4 linked regions of the Nothobranchius furzeri genome follow. The protein of the gene in region 1 binds, or shares a complex with, the protein of each later gene. Links are inferred from orthologs where the notes say so. Each region holds a gene or a part of one and is shown in the gene's direction. Other genes may lie near its edges.

Region 1 (6,076 bases):
CACGTTGAGGAATTTCTGCAGACCTTTGGTTTGAGTAACACAGAAGTATGTAAAGTTTTCCACTGAGTCATGTGTTGTGATGGTAAGGATATACTGATTTGAATTTTCTCTCCTTTTTACAGATAAAAATACACCTCAAATTCAAATGGGGTCAACAGACTTTAGAGCGTGACCTCAGGTAATCCCACGGCTATGAAGGAAGCAGTCAGAGAGCTTCCTGGTAGATTATCTGACAAGATAACAACTGTTTTACACGCTGCTGTTTGTGTCGGAGTTAACAGAGCTTAAATGTTTGGTTTTTGCTTTAATGTGCTTTTACACATGGTTAGTCAAGTGACCCAACACATACTGAACTGTTAGCTCATAGTTTTTAGTGACTAGTAGAACTTTCTTTTCTTTTCTTTTTTTTTTATCATTAAAGAAACATACAGCTGACCAAATTAAAACTGATGGAGGTTGTCATGGTTTTCTTAGTTCATAGACTAAAAATTTACACTTTTGTCTATGTTTTCTGTAGCGTTACTCCTCTGTTCATATTCCTACAGAGTCAAGAGGAAGAGTAGAGTTGCCATGGGAGACCAGCCACCTCTGACCTTTGACGTGACTTGTTCTGCACAGTCAGTAGTTTGTAGTTTTGTATCAGTTCAATTGAGAATATGTGAAACGTGCTTCACATACAGTATGTTAAGTGTAGTTTTCTTTAAAGGCCTCCATGGGCTGTGAAAGAGCGCTGGTGTCACGGTGGACATCCTGTCAGAGGAGGTAGGTTGGCTCTCAGCATTCCACCACCAGCTATGGATCAAGGCGTGTTCGGGGACCTCAGAGTCCAGTTTGTTACACTCCTGAGGCCCTGCGTGCTGCAGTACCCCAACCTGCCTACAGAGCTGACCCACATACAAATATCCTTCTTCACGATGTCATCATAACTCTGTTATGCTCTCTCTGTGGGAATGAGTGGTGGAAAAGGTCAGAAGAGGCTGTTTCAGCTTTTCTTTTTCTTTCTATATTTGTCGTTCAGCTGCTTTAATGACGCGGGGACTTCCCATATGCTGGTCTGTGTCTTAGGACACCAGGGACAAGAGTGGACACCTCACAGCCTAAGGCCGTGTCTCTTTGCTCGAAATAGGGTGAAGAGCTCCCTTCGGATTCAGTCATGTGGTTGTTGATTCACACATAAACCAAAATAACTTTCAAAGAAAGACGACAAATGTTTGTTTTTACATTAAAATAAGGGTTTGCTTTAATTCTATTATATTGCTACTAATTTACATTTATATCTACGGAGATCAACTGAAGTAGGAGTTGTTACATTTATAGGATTACCAAGCTTATAAAAAAGCATAAAGATGTTTGTTTTTTCTAGTTTGTACCAATGTGTGAGGTCTTGATAAATATGTCTGCGTCTTGTTTTGGCCAGAGTACTGCACACGTTCTATGCAGCACCTCGGTTTTAGGGGTGGATGATTAGCTCCACCCTTCCTGCTCTTTTGTGGGTGTGCCTTAATCAAGAAAAGGCCTACGGTTTTGAGCCAAACATAAATTTAGTCAAACGTTACACTTCATAACCCTAAAACCAGATTATTACAGCCAGACAGCATCTCGGCTCCAAAATAACACAATTTAATTCCTTCCTGGTTAAAAAAAACTTTTTGTTTGAAATGGTTTATGAACGTGTTATGACTCACCTAGTAGATCAGTTTAGTTAGAAAAATACAGAAAATTATGGGCATCTCCAGCCAATCATAATCATTCATAAGGCTCCATAACCAGAGGAGTCACTCCTGTTCCTTTAGGTTTTTATAGGCTTTCATTATGAAACTAAAATACAATAGTTCTTTATTGTCATTACACCCGAAGGCTCACTCCTTCCTACATTGAACGACTCATGATTGTTGTCTTTTCTTGTGTGTTGTATGTACAGTCTATGGTGTTGTCGCAGCAAAGCTAAAAACAAAAGGGTTCACACTTCAGACAGTAAAGTAAAATCTGCATAACTTGACTGTGCTGCAGGGAGGGGACAGAGCAGAGGAGGCATGATCATTTTGCTGTGAGGTGAAGATTTGATGAATTTCTTTTTTTGCAAGTTAAAACTGCTCACCGGATTAAAAATATGACTTTGATAATCCCAGAGAGAAATGATAAGATGGATGAGATACTTAAAAACCTATAGAGGCTTAAACACAGAGGCAGGGTTGCATTCTGGCTTTTTTGTGGTATTAATAATAAAATATCTCAAGGAGAAATAGGTTTTTTTTTAACCATTTCTTTGATCCTCTAATATTTTTAATATAAGGAAAGCTCTTTATTTATCACCCATCTTACTTTCCTCAGCACGAGTGACCAACAACCAGATTAGTCAGTCAAGGATATGAGAGTTTAAAAACACAGACTAATGCTGAAGGGTGCAGATCTCTAATGAGACCTCCCGGTAGGTCTGCTGCTTCTCTTCTGCGATTGAGCCGATTTATCCTCCTGATCTGAATTATTGGTCCTTGACCTGACGTGTCTTCAGGTGCTGGTGTACAGCCCCAGTAATGTCCCTGTGCCGGCTCCGTTCCACTTCTTCAGCAGCCTTCCTGCTGCGCTGGACTGTCAGCAGCTGGGTCTGGGCAGAATCCACTGCTCCTCATATAAAGGTAAACAACAACCACTGCTGGGAACAGCGTGTTCTGATGGCCCAGATGCATCGTGGGTCTTTGTAGCTAGAGGGCTTGGTCTTCTAATGAAAATGTGGAAATTGGAAAAGTTGGACGTTCAGGATAATTAATGCTATCTTGTAAAAACACATTTTGAAGTAATCAAAACACATATTTGGGTCTGAGTTTGGATTCCACTCAGAATGTTTATGTGTAAGAAAACATGTACAGGACTCAAGCTGCAGTTAAAAAAATGATTCCCATGAGCGTGTAGTTAAACTAAAAGGAAAAAGTAAAGAATGTAGAAAAGTATTTAAAACACAGACACAAGGAGAGGATGAACGATAGGCTTTCTTCTTGTTTTTAGCAAGCACATGAAATTTACTGCCTTTGAAATGGTCGTCTTGGCTCAGAAGACTTGTGTGTTACATCTGTAGCGAGTTCCCACCATGGCTGGAGCATGTGATCACATCCCTTCAGTTGACACTGTTGTTTTGGGAGGAGCAGTGTTTCCTTTGGCTCTGTGGTAATGTCAGTGGATCTACATCATCATCACCACCATAAAAACGCTGGAATGATGATGTTTAGCATGACGGATGCTCTCTTAGTTCAGATTTGTGGTCATTTGTGGAGCTAAATAACAATTCAGAGGAAATTAAAGTTATTTCAAACCACATCAAGGGTGGGAAAGCTTGATGTCAAACGACGGTCATCCGGAATGGTGATCCGAAACAGGTTTGGCTCAGTGAAACATCATCTAAGAGATAATTAAACACAGTGTGTTTATGGAAAAGGGGGAAATACAGTTAGGAATGTCGCATAAAAGTGTATTATAATGAGGCTAAATGCAATTTATTAGGATCACTTTAAACCCAACAAGAAATATATTCAGTCAGGAAATCTTATCAACAAATATCTGTTTTTACATCATGCTGGCCTCATATTTAACTCATGTGTTTAGCCTTTGTTGTGCCTGTCAGCCCAGTGAACATTATTATAAATTCACTGTTAACTTCCTCACAGGGTTTCTCGTTTATTATACAAACAAATATACAGGAATTAATTTTGTGGGAGTTTAGAAACAACTCTTAAATCTATCGTTCTTATCTCGCAAATGAAAGAGGTTTTTTTTATTTTTTTATTTTTTACATAAGGGTTAAAAGGTAATAATAATCTAAATTAAATAATTATAAAGAAAAAATAATAAACATTATGCTGAAATCTGGAGTTTTCCTCTTTCGGTGTGATTAAATTATTTATGATTTTTTTAGAAATACATAAATGTGATTTTCTTACTGTGATATAATGTAGGTTATTAGTTGTTTTTTTTTTTTTTTTGGTTTGCTAAGCCCACCCCTGTCCCCTAGAGCTCATTGCTATATGAACCGAGTGCCAGTCAGCACTCACCAATAGCATTAGGCTGCCATTTACCCAGACGTTAATCACATAGCGTTCTCGGGCGTTTATTTGCGTACCTCGGTTGATGCAGAGTTGGTGACCTTTCTCTTGGACAAGTTAACATATAAATATATGAAAACACAACATAATGTGAACATAATAATTGTAAACAATGTGTTTTAGCTCTGTTTTGTCATTTTTTTGTCAGCTAGAAGAGCACGTTCAGTAACAGGAGGCGTTGCTTTTGGCTGTAAGTACGGAAGTGAAAACCACAGCTTGGTGCGATACATTTGTCAGCCACTAGATGGTGCCGTCAGATCAAAAAATAATGTGGATTTCATCTTTAAAGTCCCTTTAGTTGTCACACACACTGGTGTGCGGTGAAATTTGTTCTCCGCATTTGACACATCCATGGGGGAGCAGGAAGCTGCAAACACTCAAGAACAATTTCAGTAAGTTGCAGGGACTAATATGTTCTCCACCAAGTTTATTATTTCTTACTCTCAAGTTCCAAAAAATGCAAAACATTTTGGACGTTTTTTCAACATGACAACAAAGAAGGGTTATATTCACAGGGACCTCACTTCTCTACATTTTTACGTAGATTTTCTGTGAATCACAACCACGATCAAACTGACACGTCTGCACGATTCGCAGTGTTTGTTTCTCCAAACCGAACCCCGACTGCTGCTGTGTGATTTATCTTACATTATAAACTGAAGTCTGGTCTGAAAAGAGACGTAACTTTACACCCCCCAATTAATCTCAGGTCTCAGATTAAGAGCAATTACATCAAATGATGGGTAATTTGCCCAACCCAGAGATGAGTCTGCCATTGCGTTAGAGGTTAATACATGTGTAGGAAACCCTATGGATGTTCCATCAAACAGTATTTGGGTTTGTTTATTTAAATGTCCCGTAAAATATTAAAAATCATTATTATTTAAATGTTTCTGTATCTCATGCAGATCTTGTGCACAGTGGTGTTGTGTTCACTGTGGAACAAGAACACTGGGACGACCCAGTGCATGAATCAGCACACGTCCCGGTGCAACAGAGCCTCCAACTCTTCCTCTTCTTGCAGCACGATGACCCCTTCATCTCTGAGGTCACTGATTTTATTGGTGAGACATCACAACAGCATTGTGTAACCATGACACACCAGACAGATGAAAGGCTGTTCAGCTCCATTAATTGTATATTTATAGAGATAAGGGCTTCTTAAGGCAGATAGTATTAGTGGTAAGGGCTGTGCTGTTGACGTTTTTTTAAGTTTTTTACACCTGTTTCCAAATCTCTCTCCTTTAAAGGATTTGATTTTGATTTTAGTTCAACTCAGAATCTTTATTAAACTATGGAGACTGTGCAACAAGAAACAAACATGGATACAAAAATGTCATTTTCACTGAAGCTGTCTCTTCTTCTAGCTGCAGAGATGTTAATAGAGCACCACCTGGAGGATATTCTGAGCAACAACAGGCAGGCCATCACAGCAGCTGTTCAGACTGAACTCTGCAACTGCCTGAAAGCACAAAATCGCAGAAAAAAGGCAAGATTAACACGCGATTAGTGTTTTTGCTTTTATATTTCAGCTATCTAGTTGTAATTATACGTATCATGTTTGGATTTGGAGAGGCAAAACAACAATATGGGCTTATGGAAACAAATGTTTAACTCTTTTTATATAAGAAATTTGTTTTGCTTTACTATTTGAAGACATCATTGTAAATAATAATAGAAATAGAAATAGAAATGGCAGATGGATAAAACAGCAGCTTGTGTTGTGTAATGCTTTAAGCGACAAGAGACGCTGAAATCGGCTGCAGCAGTGATTCTCAGCTCCACCATCAGTATTGTGAGCAGCAGCAGTAACACGGACTTCAGGAACACATGTTTGAACAGCATGAAGGTATGTAGGGGTTAAATATTGTTGCTTTTAAGCTTAATATATTACCTTTACTGAGGAAGCATAATTTAAACTTTAGTAAACTCAAAGATAAAAAATACAGATGAACTAACAGGGATTAAAACTCTGTTTTACC
Region 2 (6,069 bases), on another chromosome or scaffold:
GATCTGCAGTCATCTGTGAAATGAGTCCATGTGGCCTTGCAGGAAAACTTGCACAGACACGGAATTTCTAAGTGTTTAATCCAAACAGCTGAGGAGGTCGGTGATTTCGAAATTTTGAGCTCTTTGTAGGAAAATAAATGGCATTTAAAAAATTCAATCATCTTTCCGTTTCTCTCTGTGTTTTACTAGAATGCAGAGGTAAAACACTAACACAAAATTGTCCTCCAACTGTGTTGAGTTATTTATTTAGTTCATATACAGCATCACATGCGGTGTGCCTCAGGGTTCAATTCTAGGCCCAGTGCTTTTTAACCTCTAAATGCTCCCTCTGGGCAGCGTCATCAGGAGAAATGGGGTGAATTTCCACAGTTATGCTAACGATACACAGTTGTACATCTCCGTGATGACGCACAGCCAATGGAAACACTTTTTAACTGCATTTTAGATATTAAATCATGGATGACTGAAAACTTTCTCCAGCTAAACCAAGGCAAAACTGAAGTTTTAGTCATCGGTCCTGAGGCCCAGAGAGAGAAACTTTTACCTAAACTACAATCAATGCCTTTTTATCCATCACTACAAGTGAAGAATCTGGGCGTTATTTTTTACTCTGAGCTGACTTTTATCCCCCACATTAAAAACATCACAAAAATAGGTTTTTACCATCTTAAGAATATCGCCAGAGTCCGCCCCATTCTCTCTCGGGCCAATACGGAGACGCTAGTGCATGCTTTTATAACCAATGGAATTGATTACTGCAATGCGCTGCTTTCTGGTCTCCCCAAAAAGAGCATCTCAGGTTTACAACTTTTACAAAACTCAGCAGCACGTGTCCTGATGAAGACTAGGAAGCGGGAGCACATCACTCCGGTTTTAAAATCACTGCACTGGCTCCCCGTATGTTTTAGGATCGATTTTAAGGTTCTTTTAATGTTTTTTTAAGTGTCTTAATGGTCTCGGGCCTTCTTATCTTTCAGAAATGCTTTTACTATATAAACCCTTGCGGTCTCTGCGCTCCTCTGGCAGCCGTCTCCTAATTATTCCTAAAGTTAAGACTCACACCCACTGCGAGGCGTCCTTCAAGTACTACGGCCCTCGCCTTTGGAATGGGCTGCCGGAGGACCTCAGGGCCGAAGGGAACGTCCAGGCTTTTAAGAATAGGCTCAAGACCCACCTTTTTAGCTTAGCTTTTAACTGATTACTATTTATCTACCTGTATCACCTGTCATATTTGTTTTTTTTATATATATACCTATTTATCTCTTTTAATTAATTTTATTATTTTATTTACATCTTGGTGTTATTACATGATTATGTTTTCTTTTACCATCTTTATAATCACTTTATCAGTTACTTTCTATCCATATTAGCTTTTGTTATTTTACAGTTATATATTTTAATCCTCCAGTGTTTCCTCTGCGGAGCCCTCTGCCTTGGGGCCGGTGGTCAGCGGCGGCGGCCGGGGCGCTCCTCGGGTAGTGCCTGGGTAGTGGGGGGGGGGGTTTCCGCCCTCCCCCCCTGGCGTCATGGGCGGGTGTCTTGGCTGCTGCTGTGGATCTGTTACTGTTAGGGCAGATGGCTCCACTGATGATGTGTCGTTCATTACCTGACCCATCTGAAGTCAGCCTATTGTTTACTCTGTTGTTCGTGTGTGTGTGTGCGTGTTCGAGTGTCTGGGTGATTGTATGTTCACCTTGGAAGTGGAAGTTGGGTGCGGGAGGGGAACCGTAATTGTCAATTGTTTTATACTTGGGGAGGGGGGCTGGGATGGGAATATGGGATCTATGGGGTCATTTTAATCTGTGAAGCACTTTGAGTTGCATTTTTTGCATGAAAAGTGCTATACAAATAAAGTTGATTTGATTTGATATAATTTATTCTTGTGCTGCTGGTGCAAAAATTTTAAAAGTGACACAAAAAACATTTTTGCACTTAATTTTTTTTATGTTTTAAAGCAGAATCCTGGAGTTTTTTTTTCCTGAGAGAGCACCTCTTGTGGCAGAAAAATTATCAAAAAATAATTGACAGATTGCCTACAGGGTAAGACTAGCCTGGCAAGCCATCCCATATATGTGAAAATTGAGTCTGGCCACAACCCATTGAGAGAGCTCAGTCATGGGGGAATCTACGGTCATCTGTCTCTGCACGCTATTGGGCAACAAACAATGTGACATACTCACCGCTCTGGATGCCAGTCAACGAGGCAATCCACCATACACTGTCGGAGAAGATGAAGATACATCATTTTTCTAAATAAAAGACTTAAGTACCTCCATTTGCTGTTGACTCAAAGAAAAGCCAAAGTCTAAATAGTCCAAAGTCGATACTAAAGCTGTTTCAAATAAGCTCCCACTGCCTTAGTTGTTTCGCTCTGTTGCATCATCCCGCCCATCAAACTAAGAGAGTGCTGTAATTGGCCCACCAACCTTTTTTTTTTTTTTTTTTTTTTTTTTTTTTTTTTACCGTGTCCTGTCTGGCTGTGAAGCAAGCAGAATTGATGTCTGAATGCTGGTGACAAGCCTTACAGATTTATTCTCAGGTGGAGCATCAAAGCGTTTGCTTTTAATGTCATGCCTGATACTTAAAACTTTATTGTTATTGTTGTTGAATGCTTTGTAATTCCGACCAGACACGGAGACAGAGGTGAAAGAGAAAGGAAAAGAAAAGGTGGTGGGGGGGGGTTTCCACAAAAATAAACAATAATGAACAAGAGTCTGCTTCTAGACCTGCAGAAAAAAAGACAAAAAAAAACAAAGGGACACAAAAAAAAGGGACACAACAACAATACAACAAGATCAACCTATCACTGCGTCAACTTGATGAAAAGAATATATATATATATATAATCAACATTGCTTAACTGAAGAATCACGATAATAAATCACAACGCATTAAGTGCCCACCATAGTCTTAAGACCTGTGTTTAACGTGCCCAAGCCCATACTTTTGAGAGCACCATGTGAGCACCTGTGTGTGTACACGCGCTTGTTTATTGAAGGTTTATCTATAGGAGCGTCCAACAGAGAGTGTGAGGGACCACAGATCCGCCCCCCAAAGATGCGCAGGAGACGGGGGGAGCTCCAAGTCCCAGAGATCCAGGCGCTGCCCCAGAACGCAGGAACCCCAAGGAGACTGCAACCAGGAAGGCCCCCGCCCCCCTCGAGAGGCACAGAGGATCGCCCCGGGGGGCCACAACCAGCAGCCGGCAGAGTCCCGGGAGACATCAGCGGCAAGCCCACAGGCCCGCCCGCAGCCTCCCACCCCCTAGCCGGCCGAGCCCGGGACCCAGCGACCCGGGACCCAGGGGCGACCACCCCCGCCGGGGACCCAGCAGGCCCAGGGACCCAGACCCCACCAGGCAGCCACCGGGATCTAACAGGCAGATGCCAAAATCTTAAACCCCCAGACCCGGTTGCCACGAACACTCAGGCAGACCAAGGCACAAGCCACCACACCAGGTGTGGCAGGGGGAGGGGGGACAGAGATCTATATCATCAAGAGAAGTTCCAGGAGAGGGGAGGACCCAAAGGCCCCACCTGACATATACAGTCATACACAAACACAGTCACACGCTCCCTCCCTCATGCTCACACATGCACATACAACCCAAGACTTACAAAAATGCACGCCGGACACCCACTCATGCTCCCCATACACACCCTATTCACTCTGGTCCCGGTACTGCTGCACATTGGGTACAACCATCACCGGTAACCAGAGTTTGACCCTTTCTGCTGGGGTGCTGATGAGCAGGCTCCCCCGCCCAACGCTGAGCACAGCAACCCACCACCCCAGACCCCAACCAGACGGCCAGATCTCCCTCCTAGCCTCCAGCCCCAGGAAGCCAAGCAACAACAGAGGTGGCTAAGACCCCTAGTCTCCCTCCGCCTGCTCCAATATAGTGTTGTGTGATCATGAGGTGTATTCCATGGCTGTGGTGAGTGGGCAGTGCGGGCATCATCCAGCATATGCCAGCTGATGCCACTGCACCACCCCAAACTAATAGAGCACTGTGATTGGCTCATCAAACCAATAGAGTGCTGTCATTGGTCCACCAAACTGATAGAATGCTCCTATTGGTCCACCAAACCAATAGAGCGCTGTGATTTGTCCACTAAACTAATAGAGTGCTGTGATTGGCCCATCAAACCAATAGAGCGCTGTGATTGGCCCACCAAACCAATAGAGCGCTGTGAATGGCATATCACAATATCCCTCAGGCTTTATGGATCTCTAAAAGACCATACATAATTCCTTAAAGTAGGAAAACTGGATTGCTGCTCTAAGCTGACACCCTGACACACTTTTATTGGTGATAACTGAGTTCCATTTTTATTTTCTGAGCGATGATTTCCTCTCTTGGGCTTTTAGATATATGATGACTTAGCCTTTCTAATGCGGCTGTGACAGTCTGAGCCTGAAGTAATCACTAAACCGTTTTTCATCGTCAGCAATGAGGGTGATGTTTAATGATGGTTTTATGAAAGGTGACATTACGACGAATCAGTCAATCAACATGCCACCTCTCTGACAACCCGCCGTTATTATCCTCTTTTGACCTTTCTCATTTCTCTGTGCAGGTGGAGGACACGCCTTTCTCGCTCAGTCACCCCAACCAGTACTTCTCAGAAAGCCAGAAGCTTCTGGGTGGAGGAGGAGGGGGAAAGGAGCTGAAGCGAGAGGTGGATGCTTCACAGAGGTCGCAGGAAAACTCTTCCAGCAGAGGGTTCTCGGCAGCTCAGGAGGCAGCAGACTCCGAGCATGAAGCTGAGATGACGAAAGACCTGAACGCTTTCTTTGAAGACGTCTGATGTTTTTGTTTAAATATATAAATGTACCAGAGTTTGTGCATGTTTAGAAATCGGCAAAATTAGATGAAAACTGTTGGCGACATGTTGGAATAAAGTCATTAATATTCATCTCACCAGCGTCCTTAAAATAACACTTTGTTTTGTTCCTTTGCTGTGTGAACTCTGGTGGCCTGTCCTCAGTCTTGGCAGGGATTTTTTAATGGGGGTGGGATGGCTTGTGTGGGGGTGTTATTGAGTTGAGAATTCCCCTGCCGTCTCAGAAACAGTGTCATTGTATTTGCTGGCAGCAGTGTGGATGAATGGCGACAGGAGGATGGATGAAAAAATAAACTATTTCCACAGTTGTATTACTCTGCCTTGGAATATTGCCTCATGGTGCGCAGGGCAATTTATTCAAAGCATGCGTGGTCAAGAGATACTCCCTCCCTCCTCTCTTGAGCTTGTCTGCTTAATAATTTGCAGGAGAAAAATAAATGATGGCTGTCTAAAAGTAGAAAAGCCTTTATACTGCTGTGATGCTGCTGCAGCAAGAGCTAATACAGGATTTTTAGTAGATCTGTAAAGTTGATCCTTTTTTTCTTAGAAATAAAATTTTGATGAATAAATGAAATGTATTGTTGCTGCTGTTTGAACCAACATTGGGGCATTAGAGCTGCACATATCTAGAATTAAATCCATGACCGGTGCTTGACGTGGAGGATTTATTCAGTATAATAAGGTGACTGGATAACAGTTTGGAGTCAGGCAGGTTGCTGTCAGCAAGAGACTCTTGATGTCTAATATCTGGTAGAGCATGACTACGTTTGACACAGCTGGCCTCATTCTGAGACTGTTTATCTTCTTCAGGTGGTTCCTACAATCATTATTCATCAACCTGCTTGCATATTTTGAGCATCATCTGTGTGCAGGTTTGTGTTTTCCTTCTGAAATCTACAAAATGACACATGGTAGGTGGTGACACTGGTTTAAAGGTGTGAAACACTGAAAAAAAAAAGTTTAATGATTATTTCTGAATATAATTTTGTCACTTGAGTTTTTCATGCAGGCTAAACATGAAGATGGTCTACACCTGTCTCCTGCATTAGCTAGGATTTGAAAAGCCTGACAGATTTACATCACACTGTCACTAAAACATTCATAGGCTCGCCCGTCTTAACCCAGGGTGGGGACAGCTTTTTGTCGTTGGAAACTCAGAAACTGTGACTTCCGAGTGGGAAAAATCAACTAAAGAGCCCCCCAAATTTGGACCTCCCATTCA
Region 3 (5,412 bases), on another chromosome or scaffold:
CTTCCGCTTTTACTGGTTGGATGCGTTTGAAGACCCGTACAACCAAGCAGGTGTGGCTTCATGACAGCTGCAGTTAAAACAACCCCTGTTGTAGTTTAACGCTCTAATCAGGTGCGTGTTTGGCCTAAACTCTGTTCCAGGTGTGGTGTACCTGTTTGGGAAAGTCTGGATCGAGTCGGCAAAGAGTCACGTCAGCTGCTGCGTCACTGTCAAGAACATCGAACGCATCATGTACCTTCTGCCTCGTGAATTTGTGAGTGCCGTTCTCTCAGACCGTAGAGAAACCAGATCCACGGCATCTGTCTGTTTTGTGGTAACCCTAACCCAAATAACCAGTATTCGTATAGCGCCTTCTTAGGGTTCCACAACCCCCCAAGGCGCTTCACAACACAATCAGTCATTCACACAGTTACACGCTGGTGGGGGATGAGCTACGTTGTAGCCACAGCTAGCCTGGGGCACGCTGACAAGAGGCGAGGCTGCCGATCACAAGTGCCACCATTTTTACTGTAGAGGGCTAGAGGCTAACATTGAGCTAACAATGCTAACTAGCTACTTTTTTCATTTACCAGCGACTTGATATTACAGTGAAATGTATATCTACTCATCGGCGAGCTAGTTTGTTTATAAACATGGGCTGCAGTACCCACGTTTCACCACAAGATGTCATTCTTACCTCATGCTCCATTAATCAAACTACAGAAAACGGACCCAAAGAGCGGAAAGGTGTCGGACACGCCTGTAGGGATGATGGAGGTCTACCAGGAGTTCAGTGAGCTCTTAGAGAAGTTTAAGATCATGAAGTTCAAGTCCAAGGTCAGAGGTCGTTTCATTTACAGACGATGAGAGAAGAAAAAATGGCGTCGTGTTTTGATCTGATGTGTTGTTTATTTTTTCAGCCGGTGCAGAAAAACTACGCCTTTGAAATTCCTGATGTGCCCAGTCAGTGTGATTACCTGGAGATCAGATACTCTGTGAGCGCGCACACACACACACACACACACACACACACACACACACACACACACACACACACACACACACACACACACTAATATCTTTTATATTTTGTGTTTTTCCAGGCTGAACACCCCGCTCTGCCCCCTGACCTCAAGGGGGCGACATTCTCCCACATTTTCGGGACAAACACTTCCAGCCTGGAGCATTTTCTTCTCAGCAGGAAGATCAAAGGCCCTTGCTGGTTGGACATCAAAACACCACGTAAGCCAAAATGTAAAGATATTTAGTTTTTCCTCTCCGATGCAGAGTCTTCCTAATCCAGCACCTCCACCCCGTTTGCATTAGAGCTGACGAGCCAGCCGGCCAGCTGGTGTAAGGTGGAGGCCCTCGCTCTGAGGAGTGATTTAGTCTCTGTGATCAAAGACCTGCCGCCTCCGCCTCTCACCGTCATGTCCATCAGCCTGAAGACGGTTCAGAACCCCAGAACGCACCACAACGAGGTCAGAACGCCACGGCGGACGCGTAATTTTCTCGTTTGGTTTGAATGTTGTCGCTCACGCACCCTAACCCTCCGCAGATCGTGTCTTTAGCTGCACTCATTCATTATCAGTTCCACATGGATAAAGCTCCTCCTCAGCCTCCGCATCAGACTCATTTCTGTGGTGAGTCATTAGAATTGTCATTTTTATGCTATAAAGGGGGAAATCTTGGTTATTATTGATGTGCTTTTCAAAATAAGATGTGCAGTGAACTCATTAATGTCTAAATAAAACCTGTTCCCTCAGTGATCAGTAAACCAGCTGACTGCATCTTTCCCTACGACTTTAACGAGGCAGTAAGGAAGAAGGTGAGACGTCCTAGTTTGTCTGTTTGAGACAAAGTAAATGCAAAATGAGCTTCGATTGGCTGATTAGGTGCACAGATTTGTTCCAGTCGTGCACCTCTGTCTAGTTTTTGTTGTTAAAGATGAGTAAAGAAACGGCAAAAGTTGATTTATGTTTTTGTGCCTCCTCTCTGCTAGAACGGGAAGGTGGAGATAGCGGGAACAGAGCGAGCTCTGCTCGGCTTCTTCCTCGCCAAGATGCATAAGATCGACCCTGATGTGCTGGTGGTGAGTCAGAAACACTCCGGATGAAACCAGAAGCCGGAAAGCTGAGATTCTCCTGTTTAAAAATCACATTTAACCCTTTTTGTTGGTTTTTTTTCTCTTGTAGGGTCATGACATCTTTGGATTTGACTTGGAGGTTCTGTTGCAGAGGATCAACATGTGCAAGGTTCCCCACTGGTCCAAAATCGGCCGTCTCCGGAGGGCCAATATGCCCAAATTAGGGGTGAGGACGTAAACAAACGTCATCGGGACTAGAAAAGTGTTTTTCCGCTCACGCAGCAGCTAGCTAGACTGTTTTTTGTTTGCAGGGTCGTGGCGCCTTTGCAGAGAAGAGTGCGACCTGCGGCCGTCTGGTGTGCGACGTGGAGATCTCAGCCAAAGAGCTGATTCGCTGTAAGAGCTACCACCTGACTGAGCTCGCGGCGCAGGTGCTGAAGGTGGAGAGGTCCACGGTCCCCCAGGAGGCCATCAGGAACCTCTACAGGTGAGTAAAGCTTATTGGATCAAAGTGATAAAAAAGACCTTTACCCGTGTGGATCATAGATCTGTGTGTCATTCAGCGACTCTCCCCACCTGCTGTACCTGTTGGAGTTGACGTGGACCGACGCCAAGCTGATCCTGCAGATCATGTGTGAGCTCAACGTGCTTCCTCTCGCCCTGCAGATCACCAACATCGCCGGAAACGTCATGGTAACCACAAAGTCCCGCTTCTGCTGCCCTCAGCAGCTGTCTCCGTCTCTGACTTCCTTTCCACGGTCTCTTTTCAGTCTCGTACTCTGATGGGCGGCCGCTCGGAGAGGAACGAGTTCCTGCTGCTTCACGCGTTCCACGACAAAAACTACATCGTCCCCGACAAGCCGTCCTTCAGAAAAGCTCAGCTGGAGACTGTGAGGGTGCTGCAACAAACAGGCAAACTTTGTTTTAGCTTCTTCCGTTAATCGTTGTTTGCTGTTGTCTGTCTTCCAGGCTGAGGGGGACGATGATGCGGATGCAGGAAAAGGAAAGAGGAAGAAGAAGGCGGCTTACGCCGGCGGTCTGGTCCTGGATCCTAAAGTTGGTGAGGCCCATTTGTCTGTGAAATGTTTCACTTCTTCATGACCCGTTTTCACTTTAAACCTTCCTTCTCCTGTCTCCGTAGGGTTCTACGATAAGTTTGTGTTGCTGCTGGACTTCAACAGCTTGTACCCCTCCATCATCCAGGAGTTCAACATCTGCTTCACCACCGTGCAGCGAGAGGCTCTCGGCTCCCGCAGGAAGAATGAGGTACGCGGGACCCAACCTACGGCTAATGCACCTGGGCTTTTAGAGGCTAACCCTAGTATCCATGGTTATAGGAGGACGATCCAGAGGAGATTCCTGAGGTTCCAGATCCCGACCTGGAAATGGGAATTCTGCCCAGAGAGATCAGGAAGCTGGTGGAACGACGTAAGCAGGTGAAGCAGCTGATGAGACAGCAGGACGTCAATACGGATCTCTACATGCAGGTACACACACACACACACACACACACACACACACACACACACACACACACACACACACACACACACACACACACACACACACACACACACACACACACACATGTTTTTAGGGGGTTGTGTGGACTACGTCTTCTGAGATTTTTGTGTGGACCCTACATGCAGGAGCAGGTACACACACACACACACACACACACACACACACACACACACACACACACACACACACACACACACACACACACAGTTCATTCCTCCAAGAGATGCAAAAGTAAAGGATTCTCGTTTTCTCAGTATGACATCCGTCAGAAGGCCCTGAAGCTAACGGCTAACAGCATGTACGGCTGTCTGGGGTTCAGCTACAGCCGCTTCTACGCCAAACCGCTCGCTGCTCTGGTCACACACAAAGGCAGAGAGGTAGGTGGAGATGTGTATCGACTCATTTGACAGGGACACATGCAGTGTTGTAGGTCCCTAGGGATGTAAGGAAATATTGATGATGCAATATATCGCAATATTTTCTTCTGCAGTACTGTATTGATTTTCAAAAGCCGTGTATCGAATTTTTGGAAGAACTTACACATTTACATTTGTGTATTTTCTTTTCTTTTGGTGCAATTTAAATGCCGACCGCTAGTTGGCAGCAGAGTGCAATGGGTTTTGTTTTCACTGTGAAATGTAATGTAAATCCCTCTGTTATGGTTCAGATACCCCATGTTAAACATGTTATGCATCCGTTTGTACTCTTTATTAAATCACTAATATCGTCTGGCTGAATGTATCGCAGTATATCCTATCATCTCCCCTGTATCGTGATAAGTATCGTATCGCCAGAATTTCACCAATACACATCCCTATAGGTCCCGCCTGATGGTAACATCCATGATTGGAGGGGAAGGTTCGCAGTGGCATCAAAGCCTGTTTTAAACTAAATTCTACGCTCCATTAATAAGCTGTTCACCTACACGAACGTAAAATAATAAGTTACATAAAATACACAAGTGAACAATAAAAACTAGGGCCGGGACTTTAACGCATTAATTATGATTAATTAGAATAAAATTAACGCATTTAATCACAGCTTGCATTTCGAGCGAGGTGGAACCTTTGTCATTGCACAATTTCCTCGTAGACCGAATATCACTGACGCACACAACAATGCACAGTGCTAATGGCTACTGAAACGGAATAAAAACAGAAAGAAGTTGCCTTGCTTGGACTGATGCAGGATTTAGGAAACCCGTCCGCCTCTTTTCTTAACTTGGGGGAAAAAAAACTTCCTGACAACAACGGAGTCCGTGTCACGGACATTTTTTAGAGATCGTCTCTGCTGCAGCTGCCTGGTGGCACCGGAAACTTTACAAAAGTTGCGGTAAGCTGTATTTTAAACATTTACGTAACATCTGTGCAGCGCTGAAAGCACCAGACAGAATAATTCTGTGCCCTAACAGTAGTTTATGAAAGTAATCAGACAAACGAGAGGCACCTGGCTGCCGCTGGGAGAACGCTCCGTGTTCTCACTACTCTGTAAACTATCACAAACAACGTGTCTTAAAGTTGAAAATAGAAGTTTAAGTTAAAACAGAAACACTCTAAAAATGTGATTAATTTATATTAATTAATTACAAAGCCTCTAATTAATTAGATTAAAATTTTTAATCGAGTCACGGCTCTAATAAATACATTATTGATGTAAAATCTAACATTCTTTACTGCTGCATATCCTCTCATGTGTACAGCTGGGGTTTGTTCTAAGCCAGAGTCAGAACCTCTTTTTGGTTCTGACCAAAAACATCCAGTAGGTTCTGCCTGGAACCCAAAACCCCCGAAACACCCTTAATAATGAGCGCCGTTCCTCCTGTC
Region 4 (6,090 bases), on another chromosome or scaffold:
ATATTTCCATTTGACTGTTTATTTTGACAGATAAACTCAAGGATGTTGGTTGTTTTGAAAGAATTACCCCGATGCACACTGATGAGCTGACATTTTAATCGTTACACACATCGCGGAGGTAACTAAATCCATCAAGAAAAGATTCCCATCAGAACATCAGAGCTTTATACTGGACACTGTGCTCAGCGCGGATCGGAGCGCACACGGTGGACAGTGAGCTGAAGATCTGTAGAGGGGTTCGCAGCGCAGAACCACAGCGATGCGGTAAGATTTCCTCCCACTGAAACGGTCTGGAAACCCGGTCTCTCTGAGGGATGTGTCACTTGGAAAAATGTTCACTGATTATGAAACTTTGGCTGAATAGTGCTTGTTCCCGTCTCTAATATGGAGATGCACGACACATCCAGTCTGAGGCAGAATAGCCTCTTCAGCTCAGAAAGCACCTGTAGAGACATTTGATCACGCACAAAGTTTATGTGGAGCAGAAGCGGTCGGGCCACGGCAGGTGAAATGTTCCTAGCCTACATGAAGTGTAACGGTTTAATTGTAACATTAATATGTTACTGGACACACTGGTCTGGTTGGTTAGACCAGTGTTTGAAGTGGAAAACACACACACGCACGCACACACACCAATTAAATAACGCTGATAGCATGGACTAGAAGACAGGTGATGGTATTTAAATGATGATCAGGCTGCTGTAAAATGTAATCTCTATCCACATCAGACTTATCCTCTATTCTTTCTCTATTTGCTCTGCTGTCTGGGCTGACCTACCTGATGGTGCGTGCGGCGCATCTAGCGGCTGTGATGCACATTTTACGCATTTGGAGAGGTGGGTTGGATGCTTTGCTTTACTGGCAGATGGATTTTTTTTTTTCAAAAATGTCGGAGATTTTGCCCCATGAATAACCGTTAAAACCACCGGTGTGCATGTACCCTTATGAAAGAGTCCTACGTTGAGAGGTAAATATTAGAAGTGCAGGTAATGCATTCTGGTGCCTATAAATGAAAAATGAATGAAACATATCTATATAAAAAGGCTGCGCAGCGGCACAGTCGTTAGAGCTTTTGCCTTGCAGCAAGAAGGTCCTGGGTTCGCTTCCCGGCCTGGGAACTTTCTGCATGGAGTTGGCATGTTCTCCCTGTGCATGCATGGGTTCTCTTCAGGTACTCCAGCTTCCTCCCACAGTTCAAAAACACGACTGTTAGGTTGATTGGTCTGTCTAAATTGTCCCTAGGTGTGTGTGTGTGTGTGTGTGTGTGTGTGTGTGTGTGTGTGTGTGTGTGTGTGTGTGTGTGTGTGTGTGTGTGTGTGTGATTGTTTGTCTTGTGTGTCTCTGTGTTGCCCTGCGATGGACTGGCTCTCTGTCAAGGATATACCCCGCCTGATTGCCCGTTGACCGCTGGAGATAGGCACCAGCCCCCACCCCCCCATTCGCAACCCTGCATGGACAAGCAGGTTCAGAAAATGGATGGATGGATCTATATAAAAATAACAAAAATACAGAGAACAAATAGATTAAACATACTCAACAATCAACTTCTTGTATAATTCTATTTAACCCAGCTCATCAACATAATGATCCAGTAGATGTTTTTTGTAGCTCTTGATTTACCTTTACACATTTTTTGCAGCATGGATAGTGATTGTAGATTACTCAGGTATGTGTTTCCCCAAACTTCCACACAGTAATTCAAGTATGGCATTACCAGTGATGAAAACAGATTTATCCTAAAGATATAATTTCGTATGTCACAAATTTGACTCAAAAAGTTTATTTTGAAATCACAGGTTGGTGCGGTTTCATAGTTCGCACCATTTAATTCCTGGTGGTTTTAGCCGCGCTTCCATGCGGGCGGAGTCTAGTAGCAATAAATACCTCGAATGTTAAAAATAGAAAAGGCCACATTGGTCAAACATTCATGCAAGCTATTTGAGATGTTAATATTGTTTTATATTGCATCTGTTTCTATTAGCGAAGTTTCCCCTCTCAGTTGATCACAAATACAACTTCCTCCCCGCTCGTTTTGACTTCCGCCCGGCGAATCAAAAGAAGCAAACCCTACCATCGACATAAATATACTGGACATCTCCATTCCAAAGTCAACCCAGGGCCAAAAACTTAACGCTTTATAGTCTTACTTTATTCACAGAAAACCTTGAGTTCCATTCAAGTTGAACTCTGTAATGTTATTTTAGTTTAGGAAAATAAATAAAACGTTTTCATGGTACTTCCTGTTATTTGTGACGTAGTTGTCGCAGTTGTTTGTCATCACTGTTTCTTTCGAGTTTTCCCGCGCTGTCCTTAGCTAACCAAGCTGTCAGCTTGACTGAAGAGCAGCAGTAACATATACCTAGCTGCACATTAGCTTGGCTTTACTACATTATAATGCCATCTTCAGACTACGACTCCGCTTGTCTGCCGGACTTATTACCGCTGTACTACCGACGACTGTTCCCCTTCTACCAGTATTACCGCTGGCTTACCTACGGAGGAGGTAACTTCACAAACAGACCAGAACCACGAGCAAGCGTCAGACCGGGCTGTTAGCTTGTCTTCTGTGATTTAACTAGCTATATATGTAATTAGGCTAGCTAGCCTTCTATGCTGAACTTCAGGGTTTGTGGATTTTACGTTTGCTTCCCCCTGTGTAACATTTGAGATGTATTTACAACTGTTACAGAGCTTTTCAGAGCGTTTGACTTATGTTACGTTTAAACAAGGATTCACTTTAGTAAGACAGCTGCTAATTTATTTAAGGAAAGCAGCTTGTTCCCAGTATTCAAGAGTTGATGAAGACCTGAAAAAAACAACAATAAAGCCTGGGTAGTTAAACGTCACCGTATTTTATTGCACTGATAAATTCAGATAAGATTAAGTAAAATTTTTCTGGAAGACGTTGATTTTATTAGTAATGAAACTTTACAGCGATTATTTTATATGTGATATTTAAACAAAAGTTTGTCACTCATTAGAAAAGAGACAGATTTTGCTTGATTGCCTTTATGAAATAAACACATACAGTGTTTATTTGTCCATTTTCCCACATTCTCAGTGCAGAAGAACTACTTCCAAAACCGAGAGTTCTGCTTCACGCTCAAAGATGACATCTACGTGCGCTACCAGTCTTTCAGCACGCTGAACGAGCTGGAGAAGGAAATGCAGAAGATGAACCCTTATAAGATTGATATTGGAGCAGTGTACAGTCACAGGGTAAGACTTTATTCTGGATCAAATCATGTTTACTATCGTGTAAGTGTAGTAAAGTCACTGTTTGTCATCAACAGCCTAATCAACACAACACGGTGAAGTCCGGCAGCTTCCAAGCTCTAGAGAAGGAACTTGTGTTTGATATTGATATGACAGATTATGATGATGTCCGAAGCTGCTGCAGGTGATTATTTCTAGTTCTGAGCCTGTTCAGAGTGTTCTGGAGGACAATCTACCAAAATGACCTTTTCAAACTTCGATCCAGTGCTGCAGACATTTGCACCAAGTGCTGGACGCTGATGACCATTGCTATCCGCATCTTGGACAGAGCGCTCAGAGGTGTGTCCCTGGTCTTATGTCAGGCATGTGTTTATTTTGAATCAAATCAGATTGACATTTTTTATGTTTCTCCCAGAGGACTTTGGCTTTCAGCACCTGCTGTGGGTTTATTCTGGCAGAAGGGGAGTTCATTGTTGGGTGTGTGATGAAGCTGCCCGGAAGCTCTCTGCTGCAGCACGCTCTGCTGTGGCTGAATATCTCAGCCTGATCAAGGTAGCAATGGTTTTACCGGTATTAGGTGATTTTAAAGCAAAACTCCAAGATTATTTAAGTCTTTTAAGCAGTCCTAGAATTTAAAACCACATTTATCTGGTTGTTGTTGTTGGATAAAGGCAGCTTGGGGGTGTCTAGTGTAGCATACCAAAATGTCTGTGCTGTTGCTGACCTGCTTTCCTATGTAAATTAATAATGCTGTAACGGCCACAGAGAAATGGTTCGTTTGGAGAAAAGCTGGTTTAACACGTCATTAGCACGACACACACCCTAAAATCTGCAGGTCCCAACCTAATCATTGGTCATGATTAGGGGTGTGATGGTTCACGGGGCGGTGTTGAACCGTTTCAGTTTGGTCCACTTGCGTATTGTTTTGGTTTAACAAAGAAGAATGTTGGAGCACCAATCACATTCCAGGATATAATGGGAGTATCCAGATTGTGAATGAATGAATGCTAGATTAATCCATAGCCTGCAATCTGGTCTAACAGAGTACAGCCACACACACACACACACACACACACAGACAGATAGGCAGATCGATCCACATCTTGCAGTCCTTGTTCTCCTGCTTGTTTATCTGCAAAACCTGCTCCTCAACCCATTTGAATCTCTCTTTGGAAAACACTCACTTCTTTACTCGTTTGTCTGCACTGATAGTAACACACACACACACACTCACACACAGGTCACAGACTTACTTGCTTCAAGAAATAAAGCTATTGGGGTGCGTTGGTCAATTTTTCTGGGTTCCTGAGCCCCAACAAAGTTTCATGGGATATATTAAGGCTCAAATAATAGTTTCCAATCGTTAAAAAAATTACTTTTATCTAGAACCCCTTTAAAGTTCAAATTCAAAGCCACTTAACAGCTGCTCCCATAACTAAAAGCTGCTTATTTATTGGTTTCTGACTAACATACAGTACAGTTGTATGTCCAGATGTGATTTCTAAATGTAACCTTTTAGGGTGGTGAAGATACTGTGAAGAAAGTAGTGCTGACAGATCCAATTCACCCCTTTATCAGGTAAATATACGTTTGACTGTTGTTTTTGTCATTGCTGCTTCTGTTTGTGGCTTCAGCTGTGTCTAATCCCACCAGAGAGTCTTTGGCAGTGGTGGAGCACTTCTTCCCTCAATACGCGCTGCAGGATCAGGACATACTGGCCCGCAAAGAGTCTGTAGACAAAGTCCTGGCTCTAGTTCCTGATGATATCCTTTCTCTAACGTGCTTGCTCAGTAATTTCCTGAATATGAAAACCAGCTGAATTGATATGATTTTTAAAAAGCAGTGATAATTATGAGGCCTTAATTTGTTCTGTACATGTAAAAAAAGAGTTACAGCAGGACTTCCAGAATGAGAAGAAATCAGATGTTCGTTGGAAACTGATCAAAGACCAAGCCCGAAAGAAACAGGTTGGTCTTCGTGGTTGTTCTAGTAAATAAAATTCTGTGTATTTATATAGCACCAGGTCACGCTGAGTCCTCTCATTGCACTTCACAAAGTTAACCGTTGAGTTCAGTTCATTATGCCAGTTAGTGAAGTTTCCTACAAAAGGAAGTCCTTTCAGAAATGCAACAAAAACTTAATAATGTTCCTGATCATTTTTTGTTTGTTTTTATATTTAAAAAAACAACAACTGTTGTTTGTAGTAGTCGGTTCAGATGAATGCTTCTCAAATTGTGCTGCATCCACAGCGTGCCAGTGTCAGCAGGTTCAGGCTTGCTGGCAGCCTTACATTCAGCAAGTGCAAGGCTGCAAAATCCCTTTTCTTCCTAATGTAAATATTTGTTTAAATATGTCTGAAGTCAAAGTTTTGATAAATTAAATGTAGTTTTCATTGAATTTTTGAAAGTGTATTTTATGGGAACTAGTTTTGTAAACCATATGAAATTTAAAAAGTAATATTCATAATTTTACCGATTAGTGAGCATTAAAGGGATACTTTGCAACTTTTTCATTTTTTAAATAATTTTCTTGAGTGGGTATGTGCTAAAATGACCCTTTACAGCTGGACTATTCAATTCCGTGCCTCGAGGGCCGGTATCCGGCACGTTTTAGTGGTTTCTCTGCTCCAACACATTTAGTTCAGCTCATCAGGCTCTGCAGAAACCTGTTAATTACCTGGCGATTGAAATCACGTGTTGAAGAAGAGTTAAAACTAAAATGTGCTGATACCGGCCCTCGAGGCACGGAATTGAATACAACTGCTTTACAGAGTTGGTGAAAAATCACTCAGACCCCTTGCTATTTCAGAGTTGCCGGCCAGTCTGGTCCTGGTTAGTCTCAAAGCAGCACATTTCCTGCATGTTTTAGATCGCT

The links.
Region 2: pola2 (region 1) and prim2 share a complex: the UniProt entries of both Homo sapiens proteins name them as parts of the alpha DNA polymerase complex. The link is inferred for Nothobranchius furzeri from reciprocal best matches to the Homo sapiens genes POLA2 and PRIM2.
Region 3: the proteins of pola2 (region 1) and pola1 are in contact, whole or in part, in a cryo-EM structure (PDB 8G99), measured with the Xenopus laevis proteins. The link is inferred for Nothobranchius furzeri from reciprocal best matches to the Homo sapiens genes POLA2 and POLA1. Residues at the interface, in XP_018112289.1 of Xenopus laevis: Met280, Tyr281, Lys282, Phe283, Met284, Phe285, Gln286, Lys287, Leu288, Met289, Ile291, Arg292, Val295, Ser296, Ile299, Glu314, Thr316, Leu320, Pro321, Gln323, Glu324, Thr325, Val326, Gln331, Gly333, Cys334, Asp335, Ser336, Asn337, Gly338; in NP_001082055.1 of Xenopus laevis: Gln548, Lys551, His553, Gln554, Asn555, Phe642, Glu645, Val646, Gln649, Asn652, Leu673, Gly675, Arg676, Phe679, Lys1137, Asp1141, Pro1143, Asp1144, Ile1321, Gln1322, His1324, Asn1325, Lys1326, Leu1328, Leu1329, Arg1332, Ile1335, Lys1336, Tyr1338, Tyr1339.
Region 4: pola2 (region 1) and prim1 share a complex: the UniProt entries of both Homo sapiens proteins name them as parts of the alpha DNA polymerase complex. The link is inferred for Nothobranchius furzeri from reciprocal best matches to the Homo sapiens genes POLA2 and PRIM1.

What each region holds. Positions count from the first base shown.
Region 1 is NC_091741.1:88,849,129-88,855,204, reverse strand, and holds the start of pola2 (DNA polymerase alpha subunit B), read left to right. Parts: upstream 1-2,346; 5' UTR 2,347-2,636; intron 2,637-5,002; 5' UTR 5,003-5,158; intron 5,159-5,461; 5' UTR 5,462-5,583; intron 5,584-5,832; 5' UTR 5,833-5,943; intron 5,944-6,076. Other genes in the region: top6bl (type 2 DNA topoisomerase 6 subunit B-like), read left to right, coding at 1-45, 123-178, 546-617, 707-926. UniProt on the Homo sapiens protein: Accessory subunit of the DNA polymerase alpha complex (also known as the alpha DNA polymerase-primase complex) which plays an essential role in the initiation of DNA synthesis.
Region 2 is NC_091752.1:19,571,317-19,577,385, reverse strand, and holds the end of prim2 (DNA primase large subunit), read left to right. Parts: intron 1-4,580; coding exon 4,581-4,811; 3' UTR 4,812-4,924; downstream 4,925-6,069. UniProt on the Homo sapiens protein: Regulatory subunit of the DNA primase complex and component of the DNA polymerase alpha complex (also known as the alpha DNA polymerase-primase complex) which play an essential role in the initiation of DNA synthesis.
Region 3 is NC_091747.1:54,885,487-54,890,898, reverse strand, and holds part of pola1 (DNA polymerase alpha catalytic subunit), read left to right. Parts: coding exon 1-50; intron 51-140; coding exon 141-253; intron 254-702; coding exon 703-816; intron 817-899; coding exon 900-974; intron 975-1,082; coding exon 1,083-1,221; intron 1,222-1,305; coding exon 1,306-1,460; intron 1,461-1,537; coding exon 1,538-1,622; intron 1,623-1,745; coding exon 1,746-1,807; intron 1,808-1,981; coding exon 1,982-2,071; intron 2,072-2,174; coding exon 2,175-2,291; intron 2,292-2,376; coding exon 2,377-2,552; intron 2,553-2,628; coding exon 2,629-2,758; intron 2,759-2,835; coding exon 2,836-2,955; intron 2,956-3,034; coding exon 3,035-3,125; intron 3,126-3,206; coding exon 3,207-3,331; intron 3,332-3,402; coding exon 3,403-3,552; intron 3,553-3,843; coding exon 3,844-3,966; intron 3,967-5,412. UniProt on the Homo sapiens protein: Catalytic subunit of the DNA polymerase alpha complex (also known as the alpha DNA polymerase-primase complex) which plays an essential role in the initiation of DNA synthesis.
Region 4 is NC_091755.1:56,471,352-56,477,441, forward strand, and holds the start of prim1 (DNA primase small subunit), read left to right. Parts: upstream 1-2,271; 5' UTR 2,272-2,394; coding exon 2,395-2,503; intron 2,504-3,061; coding exon 3,062-3,219; intron 3,220-3,293; coding exon 3,294-3,400; intron 3,401-3,481; coding exon 3,482-3,555; intron 3,556-3,631; coding exon 3,632-3,768; intron 3,769-4,735; coding exon 4,736-4,794; intron 4,795-4,869; coding exon 4,870-4,979; intron 4,980-5,091; coding exon 5,092-5,183; intron 5,184-6,090. UniProt on the Homo sapiens protein: Catalytic subunit of the DNA primase complex and component of the DNA polymerase alpha complex (also known as the alpha DNA polymerase-primase complex - primosome/replisome) which play an essential role in the initiation of DNA synthesis.